3 linked regions of the Rhinolophus ferrumequinum genome follow. The protein of the gene in region 2 purifies or fractionates together with the protein of the main gene of each other region. This does not show direct contact. Links are inferred from orthologs where the notes say so. Each region holds a gene or a part of one and is shown on either strand. Other genes may lie near its edges.

Region 1 (7,154 bases), on a different chromosome or scaffold from region 2:
GGCGTCTGCTAAAGAGTCAGGTGCAGTGATGGGGAGGAGGGTGTCTGTGTCTCACTGGGGACCGGTCAGAGCCGAGAGAATACTCCAGGTGAGAACATGTGTCTGTTGAATTTTTGGAGCCCAAGGTAATTGCAGCATAGGCCCAAAGAGTTCCATTTGGTCCAAGCCATAGTCCACAGGATGTGGGACATGGCCCCCCACATCTCCAGGGTGGGCACCCAGCCGGCTGAGCTCCCCCGCAGCCCTGTGCTCAGGGCCCCAGTCTACTACTGGCCTAGCTCACCAAGCCAGGCCCCACCTGACTGCTCAGCTGCCTTGAACCATTCTGGGCATAAGCTGCTCTCTCCACCCACACACTCGCCCCCACCCCCAACCCCCGCCCCTTCTTCTCCAGGCTTTGAATCCTGAGGCTGCAAGAGGCATGTAGTTCATGTGCAGGGTGGGTCCCTGGTCACCCCCAGGAGCCAGGCTCTGAGAGCACGAAGTGCCGTGGGGCGTTCGAAGCGCTGTGGACTGTGGGTTTTATTCTGGGCATGGGGGCCGATGCTCAGTCCCCCAGCAAGACAGAGGCCTCGCGCACATGTTGCCGGACCACACGGTCCAGCAGGGCATGCACATCGCGGGCAGCCCGCGCCGCGGCCTCCAGCACCTGCTCCAGATGGTCCTCATGCAGCCTGGCATCCATCTCCAGCAGTGCGATCTGGCCTGAGGCAGGCAGCAGGGCCAGGGCCAGCTGGGGGCCACCAGCAGCTTCCTCCACGTGGCTGAGGTCTGCCAGAGGTGTGCCGTCCACAAAACCGGCTGAGCAGGCGCACACAAAGTCCCGCATAGGCACCCCAGCGTCCAGCACTGCCAGTGTGGCTGCGTTCACACAAGCTGCATAGGTCCCACCATCTGCCTGGAGCACCTGCAGGGACCCCCCCCCCAGTGGCATCAGTGCACTGGGCTGCCGACCCTCACACCCTTCCGGTCCCTGGGGGGAGGGCTGCTGCCTGCTCACCACTCACCTGCACATAGATGTCAATCTGGGAGCGAGGATGCAGCTGTGTCAGGATGGCCGCCTCGAAGGTCTGACGCAGTTGCAGGCCCATCTCACAAGACTTCCGATCCCCATGTGGCCGCCGCTTGCGCTCACCTGTGCTGAAGGTTGCAGAACTGTACTGACAGTTCACCAGGGCCCTGTCTGGCAGGGCTCGTGCCCGGGAGCCCCGGATCTGGGGGGAGAAAAGACACATGAGCCAGGCCCATTCCTCCCAGCTGACATTAGCCCTTCTGGCTCAGGCCTAGAACTTCAGCCTCCCTCCTCCCTCCCCACTACCTATAACATCTCAACCAGTGCAACTGAACAGTCTAAGCCACCATCACTGCTGGATCTCCTCTGTCTTACAGGCCTGTTTCCATCCCTGCCTCATCCCCTCCCAACCCAGTTTCCATTTGTAGCCAGAGCCAGTATGTTTACAAATATCAAGTCTGCTTCTGTCTCCTCTGCACAACCACATAACCTGCTCACCTTCCAAAGGCTCCCCATCACATGTGAGATAAAACCCTGCGTCCTACCCCTGGTCTACAAAGCCATCGCTAGAAAGCTCTCGATCTCATTTGGAATTATTCCCCATCTGCCCCAGCAGCAGCCTTTCTGCTCCGCAAACGTGCCACGCTTGTTTCCACCCCCTCTGGCCTTCCCCCTCCTAACTAGTCTCCCCCAGGAAAGCTGGGCTCCTAAACTCATGCGCTAAGCAAACTTTTTTTTCAGTGCCTGTGCTAGCAGGCACCGTTACGGCGCTGGAGACATGGCACTAAAACAGGCGGCTTTAAAGTCCCTCTCCTCCTGGAGCTTATGTTCCAGTGGGGAGACCAACGAGAAAGAGAAGTTAAATTGGTGTCTGAGGTGACAGATGCTGAAAAGCAGGGAAGCGTGTGGTTGTAGGGGACGGGACTTGAATAAGGTGGTCTGGGGAGGTATCATCCAGGCCGTGAAGTCGGAGTAGAGAGGTGAGGAAACGAGGGGGAGCGTGCCTGGCGCCTTGCAGAAGAGCATGGAGGAGGGGAGGGCGCAGGAGACAGTGGCCGGTGGAAAGGGCAGGGACCACCGTGCACCGCGGCGTAAGGACTTCCACTTTTAGTCCGATTGAGCCTCGGCCCGGAAGATGTGCTGCGTAAACGGAGACGCGCCGGCCGCCGCCTCCCGAGCCTGCGCCCACCCGCCCGCGGTGCCCGGCTCGCGCACGCCCACTCGCCTCGTGCGGCCCGTAGACCACCGCTAGCGCCTTGGTGTTGCCCTGCTCGATGTAGGCCGAGCCGTCGGCCTGCGCGAACACGCCCATGCGCGCCTGGATCTTGCGCAGCTCCCCGGCACGCCGCCCGTCTACCCGGTAGCCCTGGTCCGACAGGAGCTCCAGCCCCGCCATGTTGCTCTGCCGCCAGACGCCTCTGCGCGAACTACGGTTCCCGGAGGCCCGGATCCCCACTTCCGGTCTCCCGGAAGTCTAGCGTTTCCGGCGGGCCGGCTCCCCGCTTCCGGACTCAAAGTTACGGTCCCGGGTGGCGTCATTGTCCTCGTTGCCGCCTTCGGGGGACTTGGGCGGTGCTGGCCCAGGAGGAGAAGGCTGTGCCCGGGGCCGTTTGGGGAGCTTTTCTGCGGCCGCCAGGGCTGGAGACCCGCGGGAGGCAGGATCCCCCGACCGCGTCCCTATGTCACGGGGCTGTTCTCACGGCGCCCTGGTCGTCACGCCGCGCCTGTGCCCCGCGCCGGGCTCGGCGTTGCTTCTCTTTGAAGCCTGGAGTCTCCTGGGAGGTTCGCGGGCGGGACCAGCGAGGGCTGGAAGCAATCCTGGCTTCGTCCTTACGGGCTTCCAGTTGCTCCGCAGTCGTAAATACCCATTCTCCCAAGTTGGGACACTTTCCTTCCTGTTTAGTGTTTCCTTTTGTCCATTTAAAAATAGACATAATTTTATATTATGCATACACATGGGCACAGTTCTTTTCAGAGCAGTTTTTTTTTTTTTTTAAACGGGACTTTATTGGGGAACAGTGTGCACTTCCAGGACTTTTTTCCAAGTCAAGTTGTCCATTCAGTCTTAGTTTGTGGAGGGGGCAGCTCAGCTCCAGGTCCAGTTGCCAGTTGTTAGTTGCAGGGGGTCACAGCCCACCATCCCTTGCAGGAGTGGAGAAGTTGAACCTGCATGCCAGCCTTGTAGTTGAGAGACTACTGGCCCATGTGGGAATCGAACTGGCAGCCTTCGGAGTTAGGAGCACGGAGCTCCAACCGCCTGAGCCACCGGGCCGGCCCCTCAGAGCAGTTTTAATGTTGTTTTCCACATTGGCTTGGTTTTTCTGTCTGCACACCCCCTCCCCCCATTGACTTTAACCTAATAAATGGTCATTTGCATGTTTTTCTCCGTACATACAAATTATACACAAATACAGGAAGTTGTATGGGTATAGCCATAGTGGCTTTTGGAATTCTGGTTGTTTTTTAAAATGGGGTCATTTCATACACATTCTGTTTTTCACCCCAAAAATACCTTATGAAATCCATCTAAATTGTCCTGTGGAACTCATTAATATTTTGTTGGCTGCGTGAAACCTGTGGGGTAGTTGTGCCAGGATGTATGCCCCGCCACTGCCCTTCGTGGGGCATGGCTGTGTGTCCTCAAGTCCAGAATCCGCCCCTTCAAAGGCAGTTACTATCGCTAACCTCTTCTGTGCAGCTGTCACGCTAACTTGTTTCTCTGCAGGTCTGGTAACTTTTTGTTGAAAGCGAAACACTTTAGATAATCTATGCAGTGGCCCTGGACCATGAGTAGCCAGTCGCTCCATGGGCTATGTTGCTGTTTGAGTAGTTTATTCGTTTAGTGGCTTGTCTGGGCCAGTGCTGTGAAGTCAGTTTCCTGCCAGTGTGCAGCTGCTGATGTCACCTCCCAGCCCACCCCCTTCCCCCCCACCCCAGTGCTTATATTTAAGGGTAGCTCCCCAACATCTGGGTTAGCATGGCTTAGGGTTCAGCCCCCTGTTGGGCAAAGACTGCTTGAGCTCCCCACCAGTGAGGCACTGTCCTCTGCTGCTGGAGAAAGATTGCCCCCTGTACAGCCAGTGTAATGGGCGGCAGAATCCCCGCCAAAGACGTCCAGGTCCTGATGTCTGATAGCTGTGAATGTTACTTGTATGGTAAAAGGAACTTGGCAGATGATTACGTTAAGGATCTGGGAGCTTGTCCTGGATTTTCCAGGTGGGCCCCAAATGTAATCACAAATATCCTTTTAAAGTAGAAGCAGAGGGAGATTTGGATACGGAAGACAGAAGGTGAGGTGACCACAGTGACAGAGATTGGAGTGATGTAGCCCAAGCCAAGGACAAGGGAAGGAAAGAATTCTCTGGAGCCTCCAGAAGGAATCATTCCTGCTGACACCTTGATTTTAGTGCGTAACACTCAGCTTGGAGTTCTGGCCTCCAGAACTGAAAGAGAAGAAAGGTCTGTTGTTTTAAGGCTTCCAAGTTTGTGGTAATTTGTTAGAGCGTTCTCGTAACTGCTCGCCACTAAGGTAGCCATTGTCTTCCACAAAACCACACAGCCTCCAGAGAAAGCCAGCCTGCTCAGCCTTGCTGTGGAGCTGCTAGCCTCCCAGCCCGCCGCTCACCCTGGGCGGGAGCGGGTGGACGCCTGCTTCACCCAGAGCAGTGCCCCATATCTATGGGGGGGATGGGAGGCGTTGTCCTTCCCAGTGGAACCTCCACCCTGCAACTGGAGCCCCGAGTTCTGGCCTCTGCCCCCTTGGAGGAGAGCCTTCAGAGTGGGGAGCTGGGGTTGGGCAGCAGCAGTTTCGGGCTCAAATGCCACTGATTCCTGCTGCTCTTACCAAGACTTAGTCGACCTCCTGGAACAAATGCTGTTTGCCCTTTGGTCAATATCCAGAGTGAGAGGGTCACTCAGCCTGCCTGGACATCCTACCCCTGCCAGCCCTTTCACGGTCAAGGCTTGGCACCAGCTCGCTGTCACTTCCATCACATTTCTCTGGTCAAAAATAAGGCACATGGCCAGTTCATTCCACGGGATGAGAAATGGACTGCCCCTTGAGGGGAGGGCAGCACGTGCATCTTTGGGTTGCAGGAATTGGCTGCCCGGTGGGCACACCTTGCACGATCCCAGGACTGTGACTAGAATGGATTTTACGCCCAACATTAGGTTATGTTATATGGCGAGCTGAGGTATCCTGGCTGAGCCTCACTTCACCAGGTGGGCCCCTCGAAGGGGTGAGGCCACTGCCAGGCTCCTCCGGCAAGGTGGAATGGGTTGCTTCTGCCAGGAAGGAGGGCGCATAGCAGTTGGGAGAGTAGCTACTCAAAGTCCCATCCCAGGTCTCACAGTGCTGACTTCCATGGAAGAGTACACATCGTTTCTGCCTCTTTTATCATCAAGTCCCAAGCTTCCTTCAACTGGGAGGCTGTGCTAGTTTTCTGTTGGGTAACAACTGATCGCGAAGCAGTGGCTTAAAAGTGCATCCGTTAACTCACAGCTCTGTAGGTCAGACGTCTGTGAGTACAGTGTCTGCACTGAGTGCTTGGATTTGAATGACTGTCTGATCCGACTTCCTTTCAGCATGAACAAATTTCTTTAGTATTTCTTGTAAGGTAGGTCTGCTAGTACCAAATCCTATTTTTGTTCATCTCAGACTGTCTTTATTTCACCTTAATTTCCAAATGATCGTTCTCCAGTACACTGGGTAGGATTCTTGCTTGAGCTTTTTAACGACTCCGAGGATGTCATCCCATTGTCTCTGGCCCCCACTGTTTCTGATGGGGAATTAGGTGTTGGTCTTCTATGTGATGAATCATTTTTATGTTGTGACTTTTGAGATTTTCTCTGTCTCTCAATATTTTGACTGTGATATTTCAGCTCCTAGAGGCTGTCCACATTCCTTGCCACATGGAGAATCTCCCTGGCATGGAATCTCTCTTACACATTGCCTCTCTTTCACCAGGAAGAGGCCTGTCCTTCGAGGGGCTCACCTGATGAGGTCAGACTCAGCCAGGATACCTCAGTTCGCCACATAACACAACTTAATGTTGTTCGTAAAATCCACGCCAGTCACAGTCCTGGGATCATGCAGGGCGTGTCCACTGGGCAGGAAACCTTGCGCTCTCATAGAATTCTGCCCCCACAGCTCACCTTCCAGCTTCCAGGGTGTCTGAGTTGAAGTTGACTGGTCCGAGCCTGTCATTTTTTGGGGGGTAATATCACTAGTTCTGTCAGAAATACTGTACTCCATAATCCTTAGACTTAGGGTTATTTCCGAATTATAGGAACCATTAAAATGGTCATTATTTCTACTGAGATTAAGTGCAGCTGCCACCATGTGTCCTGGAACACTGCTCTCAGAGGTGTCACCCCACAGCCGGCCCCAGTGAGAACTCCCCACTGGAAGTCACCATGCCACACTGCAGCAGCTGGGAAAGGGCCACGCAAGTTCCAGGAAAACCTACCGGTTAATGAGTAGAAACTGCACTGAGCAAACCAGTTAATAGGAAACGATGATGTGAAATAAGCGATAAACGTAACATGAGGAAAACACTCAAAATGACGGCAACAGAACTGTCCCGTTAGAAGACACACTCCATGAAGGAAGTCCTTCATATGTTGGAAAATGGAAACCCAATTGTCAGCCTTGGGGGTGGCTGCCCGCCCCAGGAATCTGCTGTCCTCAGACCTGTCATGGGGCCTGCCTGCTGCCTGCCCCTGAATGGAGGGCCACGTCCAGGGCACCACCCTCCATGTGACAATGCCACTCCCTGTACCCCTGCAACAGGCCCATCTCTTGGCCTGCAGCCCCAGCCTGGCATGCTCGCTGGCTCACCGCTGCTCTTGAGCTCTGACTAGCTGAGTTACCACTGTCCAGCTCCTGCTGCTGCTGGGCCAGTGGCCCCTCCCTCAGGGCAGCTCAAACACCCTCCCTCCTGACCCTTCAGACGCTGTGCTGGCCATAACCACCTCGGGGACCGTGCCCAGTCACCCAGCCCCACAACCTGGCATAGGCAGGTGGGGACGGGCAGATGGGCAAGTGGGGATGCCTGAATCTCGACTCCCTTCCCTGCAACACACCCGTACTGGGCAGAGATGAAGGAGTTTCTGTCTTCCAGGAGGGGTCTTCCTAGAGGGA
Region 2 (7,486 bases):
ATTCTGCATCTAAACAGTATCTATATCTCACATTGTGTGTTCACCACTCAGAGTCAGTTCTCTGGATTCAAGAGATCTTTAGGAGGTAAAATCAAAAGGCTTGATGATGGGGAGGGCTCAAGAATGGCCCCAAGTCATTGGTGACCTTCTAAGAGCTGGGATGAGCCTGGCACCAGAGGAAGCAATTGAAGAGACTGAAGTGAGAGAAGCGAGGAAATGGAGACAAATTTCAGAACTCTTGAGAAGTTCGGCTGTGCAGGAAGGAAACAGGACATAGCTGGAGAAGTAGTTAGATGAGAGGCTTTGTTTCTTTAATGGAAGAGAGGAACATGTTTAGAAAACAGTAAGAAGGGCAGTTGAGAAGGAGAGTTGGAAGGCATGAGTGAGAGGAAGGGTAATTAATATAAGGCTCCTCAGAAAGCAGGAGGTGATGGGATCCAAAGCACAGGTGAACTTGGCCTTAAGTGGGAGGAGGGTAGCTCTACCAGGTCATGGGAGCAAAGAGGAAGCGCGTATTAAACAAGTCCAGCGCCTCGAACACTGCCTGACACATCAGGGGCCAAAAACTGTGTTCAGTGAAATAATTAACTTGCAAAGTAGGTGATGAGGGCATCTGCTGAGGATGAGAAGCCAGAGGAGAGGTTTGGATATTTGGGGAGAGTAAAGGACTTGAAATGATCCTCGTGGAGATGGAAAGGCTTGTTGCCTAAGAAGCAACATAAGCCAGCCTTGTACTGCCGCATTTGGAACTTGAAGATTATAAATTTATAATGGAAGCAACTGCCCTGTGGAAGGAAAGACTCAAAGATGGAGGCTAGTGAGATTGAAACAGAACAGGGTTTCTCATCCACTTGCCGACTCAAGGGTGATTCTGGATTAGAAGAAGAAATCTTTAGAAACCCATCAGCTAGGTCTGTGCCCCTGCTGAACTCAGCCACCTGCAGGCCTTGACTCTCTTTAACCAAGTCTGTGTTAGGAGAAGGAGGCTGGTGCTTATTCAGGTCCCATGGAGGTCGTTTTAAAATCCACCCCTTGTCTAGCCTTCATACTCATGCGTGAGGATAAACTGATCCAAACGGCCAGGAGGGTGTTTTAACCAGGTGCAGACGCAATGTTTGGGCTTCTCCCGTCCTAGGTCGGGACTTCTCTCATGATGAAACGCTGGATGTCCCAACACAAGTGGAGCTGCTCATCAAACAAGCCACCTCCCATGAAAACCTCTGCCAGTGCTACATTGGCTGGTGAGCGGGCGTCTCAGTACTTTTGTTAAAACAAGCAGTCAGGACCCCACCCTGTGCCCCAAACCCAGAGTCCCCGAGACAAGATTGGGAGGGGGGTGGTAATCCATAAAGGGTATTCGTAGTTCACATGTCTTTAATTTTTGTATTCACTGTGTGTGCTCATTGCTCTAAAAAGGAGAAATTTGAGGAAATATGGATGCATATTAGGAAGGCAAATACCAAAATAAGTTAAAATTACATTTTAAATGGTTTAGAAAAGTGAGGCTTCCTTATTTTGAGGGGGATCTTTTGGATTTTTGCTGTCAATTCCAAGATACAGGAAGGCAAAGTAAAAGAAGCCAGAGCAGTGACAGAGAAGGAGATGAAAAGACAAACTTTGGATCTGGGATTATAACATCAAGGACCACTCAGTCCGCTTTGATTAATTGCCTGAGGCATGCCCGAAGGTAGAAACTTGAGCAAGAGGGCCATGGGGAAGTGTCCTGGGACCACAGCAAACGTCAGCACTTGACTAGCAATGACGAGTGTGTCCTGCACAATTAGTAGTGGGAGATCTCAGGGACTCTCCCGGGGGTTGTCAGACCTTGGTCTTTCCATTTTCAATGTACTCGTATCTGTGTAAAGCTTTGAAGAAGCCCAAATTATTAAAATATTCCTTTTCTTTCTGTCGTCTTAGGTGTCCTTTCTGGTAACTGGAGGCCCAGACGTGCCCACAGCATTTCCCTTGAGCCTTTTGTACTTTGGTATATGCTTCCACTAAACTGAAACCATGGTCGGAAAGTTCAACTTTGTTAAATATTTTGAAATGTAAATGAAAAGAACTACTGTATATTAAAAAGTTGGTTTGAACCAACTTTCTAGCTGCTGTTGAAGAATATATTGTCAGAAACACAAGGTTTGATTTGGTTCCCAGGACAGTAAACACAATTAATGCTACCTAAATCAAGCCATTGATTTTAGGGAACAGAAGATCCATAACTTTAGAAATACGGGTTTTGACATAACTCACAACTCATCGTAAGTGTTTGCTGATCGCAGAATGGCCTAGTCGTGCCTCTCAACATGAATACAGCAAACTCAGAGCAGTCAAGAAGCCTCAGGTCATGGAGGACACGTCTTAGGATTCTGGACCGTAAGGATGCAGAAGCCGCCTTCTTCACTTTCACCCATCCCGTTACCTCACTGGTCCGTGGACGGCAACAGTATATGCGAGATGGGCCAAAATGGGTGGGGAAAGGTCCGTCTTCTGCCTCACCCACGATGCTGCGATGTACACACTTCAAGACCCAGACCACTAGCAGGGGAGTTTCTTCAGATTACTGGGTGACCTCAGCTGTGCAGATGCACAGAGGGCATCACAGTGCAGGGGAGTGGCCCACACAGGCCTACTTCTGGGATGTTTGCAGTGACATCTGAACGCTCTGTGTTTAGAGCAGGGGCTTGGAGAACAAGTGCTGTCAGGCGGTGCTGTACACAGGGAAGGCCTAGTTACATGTTGGAAATGAGCAAAACAAATGTTAAACTAAATGCACAAAATATAAACTGTAGCCGTGTCTAGACACCATGTTGTATCTGAATAATTTTTGTGCCAATAAACAACAGAATTTTAAAAACGTATGAGTGGCTTTTCATAATTATTAGTTCATAAAGGAAGCAGTTATTCCTTCAACATTCACTAAGCACTGAGTACTAGGGACCATAAAGGAACCGGATCTACATGACCTAGTCTGTTTCCTCGGGGGTGTTCACAGGCCGGAAAAGGCCGAGACAGTATCAGGCAGGAGTGGACTGACAACTCCACGACACGAAGGGGTGAGAAGGGCCACGTACAGGGTGTGAGCCACAGGTGGGGCTCTGAAACGACTACGCCACTGGGCAAGGCAGGAAAGCCTCATGGGAAGGGGGACATTTGCCGTGTGTCTCAAAGGATGCGCGGGAGCTTGTCATTTCAAGCAAGTGAGGACATTCTCGGCAGAAAAGAGGTGTCAAAGCGCAATATGGTGTAGAAGTGGTGAGTATTAACTTGAGCCGTATTAGATTGCTGGTATTCAGCCATGTTTTATATATAAAATGGTGGTTTCATAGTCACACCTCACAGGTCAGCAGGTCTACCTCAGTGGTCAGTGGGGAATAAAAAGAATAGGAACGAAAAGGAGGCCAGAAAGTAGAGTGGGGCCAGACTGGCCTGCCTCACAGTTCAACGGCAAGGAGTTTGAACCTGATACTGTGGACAGCAGGGAACCATGTGAGGTTCTAAAACAGGTAGAAGCTGCATCTTTCCTCCTCTGACAGTGGGTAATAGTACTAGGAGGAGGAGATGATGCATGTAAAGCACTCAGCACAGCCGGACAGGTGGCATTAGGTCAAACCGTATGAAACAGGTGCTCAGAAATATGAGTTGTTAAATGAACTAGGCTAGGCTTTTGTTCTGCCAGGGTGCCGGTGCACCCGAGGTACACAAGTGGGGGAAAACAGTAAAAAACAAGTATCCTGTTAATAGGATGTTCTGAATAACAATAAAAGCTAATATTTACTGAACACTACTAGGCCAAATGAATTGCATCAAGGGTGTGCCACCCCTGATCTTAGAATATATACCCACTGAGCTTCCCCAGTCCCTCCCCTGACCTGCCTAATGGTGCCTCCCTCGTAGAACACGAACGCTTCGAGGCATTCAGTTAGCAAATGTTTTGAGTTCCCACTACGTGGCTAAACAAGAGGGGTTCCGGGGGTGTAAAGGAGAGGAACACGTGACTGGAGGTGGAGGGCACAGGAGGTACGCAAGGTGGGAGCACACAGATGCCTTTTCCAGGAGTTTGCCTACCAGGGGCAAGAGAAAGGCGACGGTGGCTAGAAGGAGTGGGGTGGAGTAGTGCTTTTTCGTTTCGTCTGTTTAGTTGGGAGATGCCAGCATACGTGTAGGCTGTTAGGAACGGACCAGTAGCCAGGGAAAAGATAGATGATGCAGAGAACGGGGATAATTGCAAGAGCCAAGTTCAAGCGGGTAGGAGTGGCACGGAACCACAGCTTGGGAGGAGCTGGCTTTAAATATGAGGATAATTGGGTTCTCCGGGTCTCACCCTAAATCACAGGACTGTTGGGATGATATAATACGAGGTTAAAGAAAAATGTAAAGTTCCCTGGGTGGAGCGCTCAGGACCGTACTGCTCACGCACACGCCCCTTAAGATCCTGCCCGACGAAGACGACCTTTGCACATGCGTGGTGCGCGCACGTCGCGTCGGCCCGAGGCACTCTCGCGAGAAGAGCCGTGAATGCCGGAAAAATGGCGGTTCCCAGTCCCGGGGACTTGAAGGCCCCGCCGGCTACGAGCGCGGCTAAGTCCGACGAGGAGATGGTGCTGCCGGGATTTCCGGACGCGGACAGCTTCGTGAAGGTGAGTTCGCGGGGCCTCGGGGACGCCGTGAGCCTCCAGCGGCGGGCCGGAAGCAGGCCCGGGCCCTCTGGGCGGCCGCACGCGGAGCCCCGGGCGGGGATCGAGGGGCCGCTGCCCGCTCCAAGCAGTCTCTCACTTCACCCTCCGGGGATGGGGCCTCGCACGCGGACACTAAAGGTAGCCCCGCTTTCCAGTGCGTTCATTCTCCTAATTGAGCCCATGCAGCCCTGAGTGTGGAGCGCCCCCTCCACAGTGGGAAGGGCTTTCTTGTCACGCCGATGCCCCAGCCTTCGCGAGCTCGCCCCCGCCCGGGCCTGAGCCACCCAACCAACTCTCCCGAGGGGCTCGGCTGCTTTATGTTGCCTTCCTACATCCTCGCCTCCCGCGGCCAAGATAGTTTTTAGTGCCTCTTCTCACTCCTGAGGTCCAGTCCTACATAATCCCAAAACCTGGGTTTAAAGTCACCTGTGCAAGCTGTCACTGAGTCTCCCTCCTCTAGGTACCATAGAATATGTATCAATGCCTCCTCGAAAGAACACAGAGAGGGTTCGTTTAGTTATTTGTATAATGCTGCTTAAATATGAACAAACATAAAACTATTTTAAACGCCTTATGCATAGCTCTTATAAAATCATGAAACTAAAATAATTTTTAAATTAGCACTACAAATTCTCAAAAACTACACTCACATACCTACTTTATTGTTAGCAGATGCTATTATTAACTTATTTATTTGGCTTTGGTAGTTCCTGGACCACTAGCCATGGTCCTGATTGGGTGTGTTCATGCTTATAAGCTACCAGGTCTACCCCACCATAACTCAGATTCCTTTCTCTCTTCTTTTTCTTGGAAAACTTTTATTACGCAACTCACAGTGAAGGCATTTGGCCTTCACATGACCAACTATCTTTTTTATCTAGGACAACCACTTCAGGTTTTTTTCTCATTACCCCACAACAATTAAAACAGAGGACTACTTGGCACTAACTGAACCATAAACGTAAGTCCAGTTGTGGGCAGTAGCCATTATCAATTGGTCATCCAAAGGATCTAGAATATTCTTATATTGTTTTTAGATGCTCATCCAAATGAAAACACAAAACTTAATTCCTGTAGGAAACTCATGGATCTGAATTTGAGTAGTAATAGTAATAATAGCACTTCTGTGCCAGCAGCTATCCTAAGTGATTTTATTAGCTCATTTAATCCTTTCAACAACTCTATGGTGTTGGCACTTAAATAATGCCGATTTTTCAGAGGAGGAAACTGAGGTCCAAATAAATGAAATAATTTGCCCGAGATCACAGTTAATAGGTAGCCGAGCCACGATTCAAACCCAGGCCAGTTAGAATATTACTCATACGTGTATTTGTTCTTCCTCTCCCCACTCTCCCAAGAATGTAAGCTCTAGAACTTAGTTTTGTGTTCACCATTGTACCCTGAGGACCTGGGGTAAAATCAGCACTAAGTGAATATTTGTGGGATTGGATATCTTCATCATCGAGCACAATGTGTTACTATATATAATAGGTGTTGAAAAAAAAATGAGTTGCTGAGTGAATGGGGATCCATGTTTAAAACGTGCTTGGTTTTCTGGTTTTTGACAGTTTGCTCTTGGATCGGTGGTAGCAGTCACCAAAGCATCTGGGGGCCTACCACAGTTTGGCGATGAGTATGATTTTTACCGAAGTTTTCCTGGCTTTCAGGCATTTTGTGAAACACAGGGAGACAGGTTGCTTCAGTGGTAAGTGCTATATACTGTTTTCTTCTGTTGAAAGAAATGAATATAAAAAAGGAGGTAATTTTTCCTGAAATGTGTTTTTTCTGAACATAATTTTCAGAGCTATGGAAATGTAAAAATAAGACAGTGGATTTTGATTAGGGAAACTTGGTAAATTTTGAGTTTAACTTTTAAAATATCTTGACTTTTGCACCTACAGACAATGAATCTTTTTGAATTAATGTAGGACTTGAAAACCTAGATCCAAGATTCTCTCACAACTTGCGGAGCCACAAGTATTAGCCTTCTAATAAATGTATTAGGACAGACAGTACACAAACACTGATTTTTGTTTAGCTGTTCCATGACAGAATTAGGGAATGTTTTCGATTTCGTGTTAACACAGTGAATGCAGAGTACATTATTTATATAGTATTATATATCCTTTTAGAATTTAAAGGGAGCTTTGAGTAATTTCTTCCACCCCTTCAATTAACAACAGGTGAGTCTTAGCGAGATATAGCGGATTGCCCAAGGCCACACAGCGTGTTTCACTTTAAGGGTGCAAGTTCTATTCATTTGATCAAAAAGTACTGGGAATAATCCGAGCGAGGCCTCTCGCGCTTTCTCCCCGATTATAAACAAGTGCACACACTAACCTTGGTTTTCCTGTCCTTAGCATGAGTAGGGTAATGCAGTACCATGGGTGTCGAAGCAACATTAAGGACCGAAGTAAAGTGACTGAGTTGGAGGACAAGTTTGATTTACTTGTTGACACCAATGATGTTATTCTGGAAAGAGTGGTCAGTATTTCTCCTTACTCCCTTCTTTTTTTTTTCTTTTTTTGATTACTTTGTAGAAGAGTTTAATCGAGCCAATCTGACGACATATGACAGGGAGCAAGATCTCAGTTGCTCTGCAGAAGTACAGCTTTGCAGCTTCTTCACCTTACTCTTAAGATAACTAACAAACGAGAAGCTTTTGTATTCTTAAAATATGAAAAGGAACCCAGGCACCTTAGGAAATGGAAAGGAAGTTTCGCATTTCTTGCCTGTAACATATTCCTTTCTTTGATAGTTGGCTTCCTTTTCCCCAAAATAACACTTGTCTTCAAATATATCACTTCAAA
Region 3 (6,923 bases), on a different chromosome or scaffold from region 2:
ATGTTATCCAAGTGATCCACACAAAACACTGTTTTCCAGTTGTCTGTCCCCATCCTCAGGGTGGCTCTGTTACTCACTTGTCCGGTTACTTTTAATTACCTCGTTACTTTTAATTACTTATTTACTTTTTGGATGTGTGGACTTTCACCACGGCTCTAAGAGTCAAAACTTTCAGAAAAGGTGTGCTCAGAGGAATGTCACTCTCCCCCTTATCCCTATTTTCATGTCCCCTCTTCTTCCTCCCCCTTTCCCACCCACACCAGGTAGGTAACCTGGTTCCTCTTTTTCCTTTGCACAAATGAGCAGATACACGAATATTTTTTATATCCCCTTCTTACATAAAGGGCAGCCTACTACAGATATTCTTTTACTCTTTGCTTCTTTTTGGCCCCTTTGGCCTAGAAGTCGTAGCTACTCCCTGTGGTCACTAGACGTTGGGCTCTTCCACATTTCTTCTTGGTTCCCTGAAATGCACCCATGTGGTTATGAAAGTCCCCTGAGTTATCTGAATTGGGTTCCATCTTCTGCCAGAACATAAAATGATTCATCCTCCTGTCCACTAATTGCGCTCTCTCTCTCTCTCTCTCAAGTGGCCTCATCCCTCAGTGGCCATGTTTGGGCCTAACCATTCTGTCCATAGACGAGTCTGGAACTGAACTAGAAGGGCTGCTTTCTTATACAAGGAAACTGTAACCCCAAGAGCTGAGAGATAACCACAGTCTCTCTACCACATGGCCCAAGAAACAGAAAGCCAACTGAAGAGTGAGGAGAATAAAACAAAGGCATAAAAAGCAGCAGAGATGGGCAAGCGAAAGCCTGAAGATCCAACTGCCCATGAATTCCTGGAGAAACACTTATAGCCTTCTCATACGTACTTTTTTTTGGCTTGAGCCAGTTTGTTGGTTAACATAACTAGCAACTGAATCCTCAACACACATGGTGAGGTTAATTTCAACTGCTTCTAACCACCACCAAAATAAGATAAAATATCCCTGAAATAGTAATGGAATCAAAGGCTGAGGGAAAGGGAGCCAGAAGCTAAAACCAAACAGGACCAAAGGTGAAAAGTAAAACACAAAATGATTAGGTCTACAGGGGCAGGAACAGGATTCCAGCTAGACTTACGGCACTCTGCTGGCACTCGGTGACCAACTTAACCACAGTGTAGGTGATTTTAGAACTGAGTCAGTGGAGATCCCATGGCAGGCTCACTCACCTGCATTCTGACCTTGATTCAAATGGTGTAAATTCTGTTTTGCTCCTCCACAAACACGGCAAATTTGTGGCCAATATTAACAATCCTTACGAAGAGTTTTATTTCGTCAGTTAGTCTACATGGTTCTGTGATACACAGAACTGAACATTTACTAATAGTTGTGGCCCTAATGTGTCCATGGTCCTGGTGACTGGTGAGAGAGAGGTTTGATTTAAAAAATGAAAACCCTGTCCAACTCATCGCCCCTTTAAGGCCTACGTTACTGTTTAATGTTACTGAGTACCTACTAAGTGCTGGACACCGGCTAGGCCTTAAGGGTATCATACAGACAGGTCAATAATGACCTTCCAAGATCCATGATGAGGGAGTGGCTGAGCCTCTAAGATCCCTAGGATCAGGCTTCTGGTTACCTCTGTAACCTGATCTTCCACCATTACCCTCAGCACGAGTGGAGTCACCATCCTTTCCTTCTGGAAGGCTCAAGCCTACTTAACTCTTGATCAAGCAATTTCCTTAGCCTCCCCTGACCTGCCAGACGAGGCAGGTTTCTTGTTTTTCGTTTTTTCCCTTCACAGCCCTCAGTATAATTTTATATATAAACACACAAATAAACAGAAGTCATTTCTGTCTGTTCATTCTAGCATGAGAGCTATAGAAGGGCAGGCTACTTCCTACCCCTCGAGTCTAGCTCCGTTGAATGAGTTAAATACTGAGTCCTGAGGATACACAGAGGAAGCACTTGACGTGGATTTAGGAGAGTAATCCCACCTCCGTGGGGAAGGCTCCAGCGCAGTAGTCTCCACTGTGCTTGAGCGCGTTTGGCGTCCACGGACTACAGCACCCCGTTGATACACACACCTTATATGCCACTGCTTTTCCTCATCTTAGGAGTAATAAAGGAATCGAAGACTGATGTAAAAGGAACGCCAGACGAGATGAAAGTAACCATAATAAACCAAAAGTGAAAAGTAAAACACAAAATGCTCAGGTCAATCCAGGCAAGAACAGGATTCTGCCTAGGCTCTGGGGAGACTTTTGGGAGACGTTTCTAACCTGGGCAGGTTACAGACAAGAAGGACGCCCTTGGCTTTCCTCGGTAGCTAATTACCAGGCTCGGGTTCCGTGGTGGTCCAAACCAGGGATTGAAGGCTGAGCACAGAAGAGCTCAGTGTAGTTACAGCTGCCTCTAGGGACCTTAGTTCTCCAGAGACAAAATGGCCAACAGCAAAAATTATGCTGCTGCCTGTGGAGCCACTTTTTAAACACCCTTCCTTTATTTGTAAGGCGATTTATATTCCCAAAGCGCTTCCACCTCGGGTGCCTTCTCTCTCGCTGTGACTCCCAACCACGAGGCGAGGAAAGGCGGCCAGAAGCCACCGCGACAGTGAAGCGGCTCGCGAAGGCTGAAGGGAGGGCCCTGGGGCCGCGCTCCTTCGCTACGAAAAGGCCTCCGGGACCGGGCGCACCGCTTCCTACCCGGGTTCGGAACCGGAGACCCGGGAGGCTGCGAGCACGCACCCAGCCCTGCACGGACGCTCGCCGCCCGCTCCTAAATCGCCCACGCTGCCGGCCGCAGAGCGGTTTAATCCCAAGGTAAACGCAGACCCGCCGCGGCGCGGCCGCTCCTCCCGGGTGAACGAGGGCCGCCCGCGACCCGCGGGGCCAGGAACACCCGGCGGCCCACGCCGGCGCCGTGCTGGAGCTACCTGGATGCCGTGCACGATGTACACCTTCTCCGCCTCGCTCAGCGTCACGGACGCCATGCTGCCGAGCCGGCCCTGACGTCATCAGCCCGCGTCGCCCCCGCGCGGGCCGCGCCTCCCGCTCCTGTGCGTCATCAGCCTGCGCGGCGGCCGCTCCTGCAGCCGCCGCTGCTGCCACTGCCGGGAGCTCCATGGGCTTCTCCTGCGCGCTGCCGCGTGTCTGGCAGAGTCCAGGGAGCCGCGGGGCCTCGTGCCGGGGAGCCATCGCTGCAGCCCGAAGCCGGGGCCCGGGTCGAGGACTGCAGGGGGAGGCCGCGGCGGGAGCCACGTTAGGGGCCTGGGACTGGGGAACTGCCTCCGACTTCACGGTCAGTTGGGAGGCGGAACTGGAGTTGGTTGGAAAAGCTGGGGTGAGGTGAGAGGCGCGGGGCCGGGGCCGAAGCCGGAGGACTCGTAGTGGGAGAGGCGCGCGACGCAGATTGCTCAGAGCTGGAGTGGAAGTAGCAGGTCGTGTGCGTGTGTGTGAGAGAGAGACACCGGAGTGAGGGGAAGCGGACTTGGTGATTGTCTCCCCTACAGACCGGGGGCTGTCTCGGTCTCCCTACCCCCACCGCCCGGTCCTGCATTTTCCTGGTCCCTAGGATGGTTGAAAAGAAGAGGCGATGAAGCCCTTTTTAGCTTCTCGGTGGAAAGGTTCCGGGCCAGGAATGAATGCCCACTAGTCCCGAGGCGTCCTCAGTCCACCCCACGGATTCCCCCTCCCCCCATTTCTCTCTTTCTCTCTCTCTCACCGAACGCTGACCCAGGACCTTTCAGGATCCCCTTGCCCCGGGTGGTCGCCGGAGTATGATCCCAAAGAGAGTAGGAGGGAGAGTCCTGGTAACCGGCGCTGGCGAGGGGCGCAGTGCCCAGGCGTCCCCAGCGCTTCTCAGTGGTGGCTGGAAGCCTTGACTCGATGGGGTGATTTCTGGGAGCTGTGGACAGCTGCTGGGGGCGGGAGGGGACGGGGAGGCGGGGCGGAAGCCCAGGTGCTGGCCGAGTAGGAGTCTCGGCCTCCAATGTCCAGAAAGGATACCTGCAAGGTGGACATGGGGTCACTGAAGGAGCCCCAGCAAGGCGGGGCAGACAGGGTATGGCACAGATTTTAACAGAGCCATGTGGATAAACGGAGGAAAGTTAACCGAAAGTGATGGAAGCAAAGAGGGGATCTGATGACTTTTCTAAACGTCCCGTATTTGGGGAACCTCCCTGTTCTCAAAAGTGAAAGTAACCCTTGATGGCTTGGTCATCCAAAGAACGACCGGTGTTTCCCAGATACTGTCTTCAATATAGTTTCCCAAATGACTATTGGGATCTTGCTGTGGGTGGGCTTTGGGCTAGCTTGGAACACTAAGGCCAGTGAAACACGACGTCTGCCCGGAGAAGCTCCCCAGGCAGAAGGGAAGGCTCCAGGGCCACCATAATCACAGAACATGGTGGTTAAGAGCTATGACGGTGGCACCAGTGAGCACAGTGGGACAGGGAGGTGGGCCAGAGGAAGGTGCAGAAAGGAAATACCTGTCCACCTTCTTAAGCACTAAACTGCTAAGCTCCTAAAATAGATGATCACTTCTTAGTAGACTAGACATTAGTTATTTCTTATGTCTCTACGTAGTTCTTTACAGGTGCACCTACAGGGAAGACATATTGCAGGGTTGGACTTTGCCCTCCAGGGAAACGGAAGGGTGAAGCCGGAAGGATTTCCTCCCTAATGAAAACACAGGTGCCCCATCTGTTGTGGCAATAGACGTTTTTCTGTGTGGTTTGACACCTGGATCCCATGTGAGGAACTCTGTGGTAACAGAGGATGCTGATGTTAAAACAGGATTTTGTGGTAGAGATTGCTCAGAAAAGAGAGACCCTGGACATGGAATTTTAGTAGCTGGAATATCTAAGAGGATTAAGGATTTAAAAAGTGGCAGCAAATGGACAGATCAGAAAAGACACAGAAAGGAAAGTCTGAGTTTGGATACCATGGAATCATCTCAATATAAAATCAGTATGTCTTAAAAAATATAAAAGCTCTATCTGAACTGTTCCCCCGACAACTGACTAAAGGTTCCTTGCTGGAGAAGGGTTGGCAGTATTTGCTAAGTAATATTATGAATGATGTCTGACTTAACAGGCTAAGTAGGTGTGAGAGGTATAAATAGTAGAATATTCATTTTACATTCTCTACTAAAACAACGATACCTTCACTGATCGTTCTACTTCAGTGCGGCCAGAACATTTTTATCCCATTTGTTGTGATAATACATTAGACATTTTTAAAACCCATAAATTCAGAGTTCCTTTTTGGTTTATTGAAGCCATTCAAAGAATGTATGTTAGCCAGAAAATCCAAAAGCCAAGGATGGCACGTTATTCTGTTAAACCAGCTTGTTTTTCCATCACTGTCAGATTCTCTAGGGCGCATACTGTTTTGTAGGTCTGTCTATTCTAAACCTCTGCACCCTATTAATTTTATTTAACTCTAACTTACATAGTGCTTATTATGTACCAAGCACTTGACAAAGATTGACTGATTCAGTCCTCACAATAGTTCTACGAGACAGATACTATTATCCCTATTTTACAGATTGGGAAACTGAGGTGCAGAGAAGTTACTTGTCTTGACCAAGGCCACAGGTCACGTAACTGGCAGAGCCAGGATTTGAGACCAGGTAATCTAGCTCCAATCCCTGCACAGCTAATATAGAACGTGGTGCTAATGGGAAATTCCTATGTCTAACCCCTTTGGATAAGGGAAACAGTTAAATACAGGCTGATGGAGCTTAGAGGAGCTGAGGACAGCCCTCAACGGCAGAGAAGGCCGATGGATCTGGTACGGAGATGGCATGGAGACCCAGATTCCAACCACGTGCCTTACACCCACAACAGACACCTAGGAGCTCTTCAAACAATCAGGAAGTACTTGTTTGTGTGCCCGAGAGTCGCTTGTGTTCTCGAGGGCCTGAAGTAATAAGAAACTGAAAACACACACCTGCCTAAAAGGGGTTTAGGATTTATTATAGCCGGGGAGCCCAGGCACTTTGAGCTAGTGCATGAACAAGACAATAAAATATTGCTCGATTGAGACACATGATAATTAGACAAGAGGCCAGCCAATAATAAGGTGCTAATTGTGCATGCCAGGCACCAAGGGCAAGAGGTGAAGAGCTGCTGCGAGCCACTAGCGGGCAACGAGAACCTTACAGAGATGGAGTCCATCTGTCCCACCCAGCCTTGCTTCATTAAAGCAGTAAAAGCCGGTGACAGAAGAGCTTCGATGCCGTGCTGCGTCCGTGGTGCTGAAGTTGCAGAGAGCTCCTAAAAGCCCGAGGAACGAACATTTTATTCCCAATCTTTAAACAGAGGGAGCCAAGTTTTAGGCCTTTTCCTTTGCATTTTCACAATTAGCCTCGCACCTCAGAAAAGCAAAAGTGAGCTGCTGTTTTCCCTACAGATCTGTTTCCTTTAAACACTTTGCATTTGTCCTGCCTGTTTCTTGTCTTAAAGAATTTTCATTATAACCTGTCACAGTCTGGCCAGCAGGGCTGTATCTGTCTTGCTGCTCTACACATTATAACTTGTGATTACAGTGATAGAAAAATTGATATGAATACATGGGTAAAGTTTATTCTCATTTAGAGGAAGGGTCTTCACGTGTGTTTCATTTTGAGTGAGTGGCTGGGTGCTTCCCATGTCTTTCGTTAGGGCATGTGTGAGAAAAGGGGCTCATGTTTCCAAATGAGCAAATCTGGAAATATTTAAAGACACATACACACCCTGAGAGCACAGCCATAGAAAGCAACAGAATCCGAAGTAGAAATAGAGGAGTGATGTATGAATATTGATCTGTTGGGGGGAAAAAATGGTTAATCCCATGTGGACTCTACTTTCTTCCTGTTTTTGCATTTTTTTATTTGCCTTCCTCTTTGGAAGCAGATTTCCAGAGACAAATGGCTGGGTCATTCCTGGCTCTG

What was found. Proteins that work in one complex are often made in the same cells at the same time.
Region 1: the proteins of EXOSC10 (region 2) and EXOSC4 purify together in Homo sapiens (affinity purification with mass spectrometry; 9 studies listed by BioGRID and IntAct, with this or other methods). This does not show direct contact. The link is inferred for Rhinolophus ferrumequinum from reciprocal best matches to the Homo sapiens genes EXOSC10 and EXOSC4.
Region 3: the proteins of EXOSC10 (region 2) and EXOSC7 purify together in Homo sapiens (affinity purification with mass spectrometry; 6 studies listed by BioGRID and IntAct, counting the BioPlex papers as one, with this or other methods). This does not show direct contact. The link is inferred for Rhinolophus ferrumequinum from reciprocal best matches to the Homo sapiens genes EXOSC10 and EXOSC7.

The regions. Positions count from the first base shown.
Region 1 is NC_046297.1:72,919,986-72,927,139, reverse strand, and holds EXOSC4 (exosome complex component RRP41), read right to left. Parts: upstream 2,887-7,154; 5' UTR 2,409-2,886; coding exon 2,238-2,408; intron 1,215-2,237; coding exon 1,008-1,214; intron 908-1,007; coding exon 548-907; 3' UTR 508-547; downstream 1-507. UniProt on the Homo sapiens protein: Non-catalytic component of the RNA exosome complex which has 3'->5' exoribonuclease activity and participates in a multitude of cellular RNA processing and degradation events.
Region 2 is NC_046292.1:7,452,748-7,460,233, reverse strand, and holds the start of EXOSC10 (exosome component 10), read left to right. Parts: upstream 1-4,479; 5' UTR 4,480-4,526; coding exon 4,527-4,637; intron 4,638-6,244; coding exon 6,245-6,381; intron 6,382-7,036; coding exon 7,037-7,160; intron 7,161-7,486. Other genes in the region: serine/threonine-protein kinase mTOR, read left to right, coding at 1,136-1,241, 1,918-1,933. UniProt on the Homo sapiens protein: Catalytic component of the RNA exosome complex which has 3'->5' exoribonuclease activity and participates in a multitude of cellular RNA processing and degradation events.
Region 3 is NC_046300.1:9,960,863-9,967,785, forward strand, and holds the start of EXOSC7 (exosome complex component RRP42), read right to left. Parts: upstream 3,008-6,923; 5' UTR 2,980-3,007; coding exon 2,923-2,979; intron 1-2,922. UniProt on the Homo sapiens protein: Non-catalytic component of the RNA exosome complex which has 3'->5' exoribonuclease activity and participates in a multitude of cellular RNA processing and degradation events.